Nothobranchius furzeri: one gene and its partner. Each later gene encodes a partner of the first gene's protein in a complex. Links are inferred from orthologs where the notes say so. Each region holds a gene or a part of one and is shown on either strand. Other genes may lie near its edges. The genes, in order: ncf2 and rac2.

Region 1 (2,962 bases):
TCTTCTAAAATCCCAAAATCTTTCAAATTAATTTAAGTAATACTTTTCAATATGTGTTTTTTTTTTCTGACAGAAACAAAAGCTTTTCAAACCGGTGGAATTCCCTTTGAAAATGCTGTTTAGACCAAACAAGCACTATGTGGCTGAGCTGGAGAAAAAGGACTACCTGGGCAAAGCTAAGGTATGCATATAACAACCAGACCAACAATCACAGATTTTAACATAATCCATTTTAATTGTGGATTATTCAGATTTACAGATATATATTATTGATGAAGAACGGCATAAAACTCCATTTAAAATGTATTTTTCGAAACATTAGGTTGTTTCCTCTGTGGTTCCACAAGATGAGTTCTCTGGGTTTGCCCCGCTACAACCGCAGGTGAGGAATCAAATCAAACTGAGACCAATAAAGTCCTCAGAAGATAAATAAATGTTTCATTAGCCTCTAATATACCAGGGCAGATCAAATCCACTCATGACGAGGGGAAGTCTGAGCAGCGTCATATGTACATTAGTTCTTTACGATGTGAAATATAAAGCCTTTTTGCAATGGTGGTTAAAAGTGAAAGTCCTGTATTTTGTTAGGTCGAAGATGGTCCAACTTCTCCAAAAGAACCAGAAGTTTTGAGGTCAGTTTGAACATGTATTAGATTTTCTTTTGCTGTGATCTGAAAGTGAACATGTCCCAAATAGATAAACCAAACAGCAGATAAAATATAATCATCATATTCTAATTGTTCTGTTTCTCACGAGGACATGTGGACATCTCGTCTCCACAGAGCTCTACAAGGAGAACCACACACCGTGCTGTTTGAGTTTGACCCTGAGACCAGTGATGAGTTGGCTGTTGTGCCAGGAAACATTGTGTTTGTGCTGCAGAAGGGTGACGACAACTGGGCCTACGTGGTCTTCAATGAAAGAGTAGGACTAAAATCAGGGATGGGCTGAATTAGTAATTTATGTTTTTAAGTTCTATTGATTATTATCCAGTATGATGTCGATTACAGAGAGGACTTGTTCCTTACAATTACCTAGAGCGTTTGGAAATTTCCTTGGCTTCAAATCAACACAAGGTAGGGCTGCTGTATCAGTGACTTCCTGTTCGGCATCATTTTCTCTGGACATAGTCCAGAAAAACTCGTTGTTCTTTAAAATTTACTTAGGCTACGTTGAACAGTATGGAAACTTGACTTCTTTAATGTTTTTTTTTTCCTTTTCCCATATTTTGATTGGGAACAATTATCAGGGTTTAGCCAGACCTCTGAGTCAAGAACCACCAACCAGACCTGAGAGGAAAGGTAGATCTCACAACTACACATTTGTATTAATGCTGCCATTAATTTGTGTAGCCCAAGCTGAAACAGTCCCCTAACCATACACGACCCCTGGTTTGGGTATACACTATAAAACCTGCTTTTATTCCCATATTTTTCACAAGACTGATCCATTTATCACAAGGTGATAAGAAGTGAAATATTTTTGTTGGGTAATAAAATGTGATTTACTTTTATCTCATGCAATACATACAGTGGGTATGGAAAGTATTCAGACCCTCATCATTTTTTCACTGTTATATTGCAGCCATTTGCTTTTTTTCCCCTCATTAATGTACACATGGCATCCCATATTGACAGAAAAACACAGAATTTTAGAAATGTATGTATTGAAAAAGAAAACCTGAAATATCTCATGGTCTTTAGTATTCAGACCCTTTGCTGTGAGGTGCTTTCCATTTCTTCTGATCATACTTGTGATGGTCCAACACCTTCATTGGAGTCCAGCTGGGTTTGATTATGCTAACTGGACTTGATTAAGAAAGACACACATCTGTCTATATAAAACCTTACAGCTCATGATGCATGTCAGAGCAAATGAGAATCGTGAGATCAAAGGAACTGCCTGAAGAGCTCAGAGACAGAATTGTGGCGAGGCACAGATCTGGCCATGGTTACCAAAACATCTCTGCTGCTCTTAAGGTTCCTAAGAGTACAGTGGCCTCCATAATCATTAAATGGAAGATGTTTGCTTCCTAAAGCAGGCTGTAGAAATTGTCACTGCAGCCCTCCACCAGTCAGGGCTTTACGGCAGAGGGGACCGTCGGAAGCCTCGCTTCAGTGCAAGACTCGTAAAAATCCTCATTGAGTTTGCTAAAAGACACCTGAAGGACCCCGAGATGGTGAGAAATAAGATTATCTGGTCTTAGACCAAGATAGAACTTTATGGCCATAATTCTAAGTGGTATGTTTGGAGAAAACCTGGCACTGCTCATCACTTGTCCAATACAGTCCCCACAGTGAAGCATGGCGGTGGCAGCATCATTTTGTGGGGGTGTTTTTCAGCTGCAGGGACAGGACGACTGGTTGCAATAGAGGAAACGATGAATGCGGCCAAGTACAGGTATATCCTGGACCAGAACCTTCTCCAGAGTGCTCAGGACCTCAGACTGGGCTGAAGGTTTACCTTCCAACATGACAGTGACCCTAAACACACAGCTAAAATAACGAAGGGGTGGCTTCACAGCAACTAAAAGGCCCAGCCAGAACCCTGACTTAAACCCAACTGAGCCTCTCTGGAGACCTAAAAATGGCACACTGTTCACCATCCAACCTGACAGAACTGGCGAGGATCTGCAGGAGGAATGACAGGATCCCCAAATCTAGATGTAAGACACTTGTTGCATCTTTACCAAGAAGACTCATAGCTGTACTAGCTCAAAAGGTACTTCTACTAAATACCGAGCAAAGGGTCTGAGTACTCAGGACCATGTGATGTATCAGTTTGTCTTTTTTAATAAACCTGCAGAAATCTCTAAAATTCTGAGTTATTCTCTCAATATGGGGTGCTCTGTGTACATTAATGAAGGGATAAAGAATTTAATTGATTTTACCAAATGTTTGCAATATAAAAAGAGATGCGGCAGGGTGAGTGTCCTGTCACAGGGTCCCGATTGATCATGTGC
Region 2 (4,580 bases), on another chromosome or scaffold:
TGGAGCATTTATACAAGCAATAGGGACACATGTCACAGCATTAAAGGATGGAAAAGATGATTTTTGCATAATATGTTCCCTTTAAGATGTTTGTTATGCACATGTTTAGCTGTAGCCTGAGCAGTGACCATTAACACTGCTAGGTTAATTTTTTGCAGCATATTTTTAAAATAAATATGTTCACAGTTTGAGATTTGGCAGCACTTGTAACATGGTCTACAAAGAAATAATCAAAGTAATGTTTTTTATATTTGTGTGGAGTTTATTCATTTGTTTCTCACAGTTACTGAGATTATTAAAAAAATCAGATTTAATAGTTAAAATTGAGCTTTAATAGTTTAGTTGAAATGGTCTTCCAGGTCACGTGTATTACCGGTATCTAATTTTGCACAACTGATTACATCACAGGAATACATGACGACATCTGAACACAATACCACCAGTAAGACTTGGTGTGTCATAATTTCTCACTCAGAACAAAATTCCGTTCTTATCAAACTAATTATTTTTTTACTGCTTTACATTGTGGCTCTAATTATAAATGGCTAATAAATAAAAATTTTAAATTATTAATAAATCTGTAACACAATAAATTATGGTCAGTGTTTATTATACTTTAAAAGGGGGAAAAGAGAAAAAAGTGACCAGCTTCTGTCAAAATGGTGAGCCAAAATAGTGTTCTCTTTCTCGTCCTTAATAACATATTTATAAACTATTTATTAGCCACTCATAAGGGAAACCCTTTGTAAAGTTGTATCTTTCTTTTTACAATTCGTCATTTACATTGCCTCATGTTTACTTTAAGTATCTGTGGTGATTAGGTGGACATTGGTTCTTAAACTAATGGAAAAACCCATTTAGTCTAAGAAATTTAAAATAATACCTCTGTTGCAGTTAAGTTCCAGTGGTGTTATCACTGTTTCTGACTTAACGAGGTCCTTCGCTCAGTTTTAATACATTTGCAGTGGCCTCTAGTAGTAATGAATGCCTTGTGAATCGTACTCTGGGGAAACAAAGCTCTGGCGCGCCTGTTTCGTGCAGGAACTACAAGATTGCCACATCACAGCTGAGCTTCAGCAGGATTTGGAGTCTTATATCCTGATATTTGGACATCTCACCTCTGATTGGATAACAGCAACGCAACCCTACCACTGCTTCTGTTGTGCAACGTTGATGTTTTATTCACAAATAACACCTGAAGGAGTTCTGCCATGTGGTGGACTTGCGAATGCTAACAGATAGCTTCTCCTAGCTGAGACGTTTACTGCTGTTTCCTGCACGCCAAACCAACAACAGCCTTCCCCGTTGCGAGTTAAGCTGGGTGAGTCATGAATGTTAGGTGTGACTATAAATCTCTGGATTAAAGTTTTTACAATGTTTTTAACCAGAACATGTGATCTATTATTTTTTTAATCAAGCTGCCAACTTATGAACTTCTGATTTTATAGTTAAAATTCAAAGTTTTGCAAGTGAACATATAACTGTAAATACATTTTAAAAAGTTACACACAAAGGCTACCTACAGACTCACACACTTCCCTCCAACCTAACACAAGCTTCCTCTTGTCAGACCAGCAAACACGTGTTCCTCCATCATCCCAGCTGTTAGGATTATTTTAAAGGGTTTCCACCACAAAGGCTCAAACTGAAATGGTGGAGTTACAAACTCAGACAAAAGAAAAGAAAACAAAACTCTGCTACAGGAGATGCTTGGATTTTAGTCAGCGTGCTGCAGAAATGACTCATATCACCAGTTTCCACTGACAGATTGTCTTAATTAATTACGAGAATTAATTCTAACAAGTTACTTCATGACCTTTGTCGGAAAAAAATGTTTTCAAAATGTGTTTGTTTTGATCAAAAACCCAATAATCATCCCACACAAATTCCTCTTCATTATCATTTTCTGCGACCCCCCACCTAACCCTGCGGTTCTGATTCCTGTTGCCTTGAGGGAACGAGACCATGTGTACACATTTATTAAAAAATACCTAAAGATACACCAAGCTTCTGTCACGCACACAAGTTCACGTGTTCACACTAACTTCCTTTTCTTCTTCGCTTTACATTTCTAAATCAGACACAACAGGAAGCTCAGCACACAAGGAAGAGCAGCTTCAGCACCTGAGAGGCTCTTCCATCGCTCTAACTGTTATTGATCTCTTAGACACAAAACTAATGTGGCTTTTTATGACAAATGGTCTCTTTACTGTTACTTATTTGTGCTTTAAATATGGAGACATGTTAATAAAGTGGATACTGACACAATTCAAACTTTCCTACACCGTTTCAGCCAAATAAGTTCACATTTCAGTATTTTTGATTATTTCTGTCTGGTGTTCCCCTTAATCAGCTGTTTCTTGACATTTCTCAGCTCCTCCTCAGAAGAAAGGGGGCCTGTGCTAAAGGTTTGCTGCTCAGAAGCATTTTCTACATGTTGTGACCTGCACAGCTCATCCACTTCTCTGATCGGTGCTGTCAAACAAACACCTTGGGACCAACATGTTCTACAAGAAAATTACCCCCAACGAATCCAGACACTGCGGAAGTAGATGCAACTCTTATTTGATTTGACAATTTTGTCCTCCAGTTCCTACATTCTGAACTCAGGTCCAAACATGTCCATCATGAATGATCGGGACCAATTCCGTACCTGTAAACACGGTTTAAGTTAGGACAAATAAAGTGAAGTAAAATGTAGCCGTACCCATCTCCTACGACCACACACTTGATAGCCTGCATCCTGTTCTGCTCAGCGTCGCCTCTTCTCTCTGACAGAGGAAGTTTCAGAGCTGAGCATGCAACTACAGGAAACTGTTGCACACCTCCCTCCCTCTCCGCTCTCTGAGCTACCTCTTTTTTGACAGCCTCCCCACCTGTTGTTTTATAACTCACCCTGCCTTCCTCTACTCCTTTGTTTGTGTAGTTTTCCTCCTAAAATAGACCATTCACTATTTCAGTTATGGGAATTAATTAAACAATACTTTAAGCTGAAATGGATTTAATTTTGCACGGAGCAAAATGAGGAAGGAGTTGAAGTGATAAAAACAGCTTTATCTGAAACTTACTACTTCGTTTGCGCTTCTATGGATGCCGACAATAAACTAAAAAAATATCACCGGAGTCGCTTACCATAAAACACACACACACACACACACACACACACACACACACACAGGCAAAACATGATTGCATTTACACTTTATTTTTATATTTACGCAAAGGTTTGTTATTTTTAGAGTGACACTTGGTGTTAGCAAAACAAAGACTCAAAGCCACCATCTGTAGTCACAAACCAGAGGTGAAGGTAACACCATGGTGTGGCCATCAGGTGGCGCCTTGGCACCACGATAAAGCCTAGACTGGGAAAGGTAAAATGGCCTGTAAAACACAGGTGGCATTCATTTTCAGTTTTTGGGTCATAATGTAATCTACTGGTTTCCTTCTAATGTTTCCTAATAATGTTTTATTTCTAGATAAACAAAAATATAAAAATATTCAAAACAAAGAAAAATCTGATTAATTTTTTACACAATAGAAATTTCTTACTATAATAACTAAATGATGCCAGATTAAAACCCACTTTATTACCTTTACATCAAAGTCCCAGTATTAGAGCTCTGAGTGAATCATTTATTCAGGACCACGTGCAGGGCTGCACGGCGTACTTAAACCAGATGTTTTTGTACTGAAGGATGGTCATATTGTCTGTCTTTGTGCTCATGTGAACCTGTCGTGGAAGAGGAAGAGGTGGGGCTTCAAGTAATTAAATATTTCATTCAGTTGTTGCGCTGGAGGCTGAAGCAGCCTAATGCTCAACTGTGTTGCCAAGGGAGTTTTCTGTCATTTATTTGTTTTTTCATTTGTTTTGGGATATAAATGACAGATTCTAAAATGGGTAAGACCTGATTTAATCTTTTCTTGCTTTACAATGATTATTTAAGATATTTGCTGAAACGTTGCGATGAAAAAAATGTTTCAACTCCCTGATTTCCTAAAGTGGGATTATTTATTATTGTGGCTTGAAACTTAAATCAGATTTTCTGACATATTAGGGATACTATGTCAGAAAATGTTTCAGCAAAACAGTAAAAAAAATAATCACGTTGTAAAAACAAAATAATGAACTTCATGGCATTAATGACACCCCAAAATATCAGTAAAACTTTTTATTTGAATTCCAGCTGTTTAGTCTATCAGCATTCATTGTCATTTTGCTTTCCCTAATAATTAGACATCAAAATGCATTTATACTGTATACATTCCAGTGTCTCAAATTTGAGCCACGGGGGCCTTTTAATAACCGATTGTGTTTAAAAAGAGCTAAGGCTGCAAAGGTTTTCCGCTTGTTACTGACAGCTTGCGGTAGAGAAGCGAAGAAAAAAGACATGCAAACTGTTTTTGTAAAACACTGTTGTGAGCCAAAATGCAGAAGAGAGACTCACAAGACCGTGCGTCACTGACAGTAATACAAAAATAGAAGTTGTCTTCAATTAGATATCTGTATAATTCATTTTTTAAAGGCACAACTCAGAGATTCAGAAGATTCCAGCATAAACATGCATCGCTGTAATCAGGTT

What was found.
Region 2: ncf2 (region 1) and rac2 share a complex: the UniProt entries of both Homo sapiens proteins name them as parts of the phagocyte NADPH oxidase complex. The link is inferred for Nothobranchius furzeri from reciprocal best matches to the Homo sapiens genes NCF2 and RAC2.

The regions. Positions count from the first base shown.
Region 1 is NC_091747.1:36,772,728-36,775,689, reverse strand, and holds part of ncf2 (neutrophil cytosol factor 2), read left to right. Parts: intron 1-73; coding exon 74-181; intron 182-322; coding exon 323-382; intron 383-588; coding exon 589-632; intron 633-782; coding exon 783-924; intron 925-1,010; coding exon 1,011-1,076; intron 1,077-1,231; coding exon 1,232-1,301; intron 1,302-2,962. UniProt on the Homo sapiens protein: Subunit of the phagocyte NADPH oxidase complex that mediates the transfer of electrons from cytosolic NADPH to O2 to produce the superoxide anion (O2(-)).
Region 2 is NC_091744.1:132,338-136,917, forward strand, and holds the start of rac2 (ras-related C3 botulinum toxin substrate 2), read right to left. Parts: upstream 2,851-4,580; 5' UTR 2,743-2,850; coding exon 2,708-2,742; intron 1-2,707. UniProt on the Homo sapiens protein: Plasma membrane-associated small GTPase which cycles between an active GTP-bound and inactive GDP-bound state.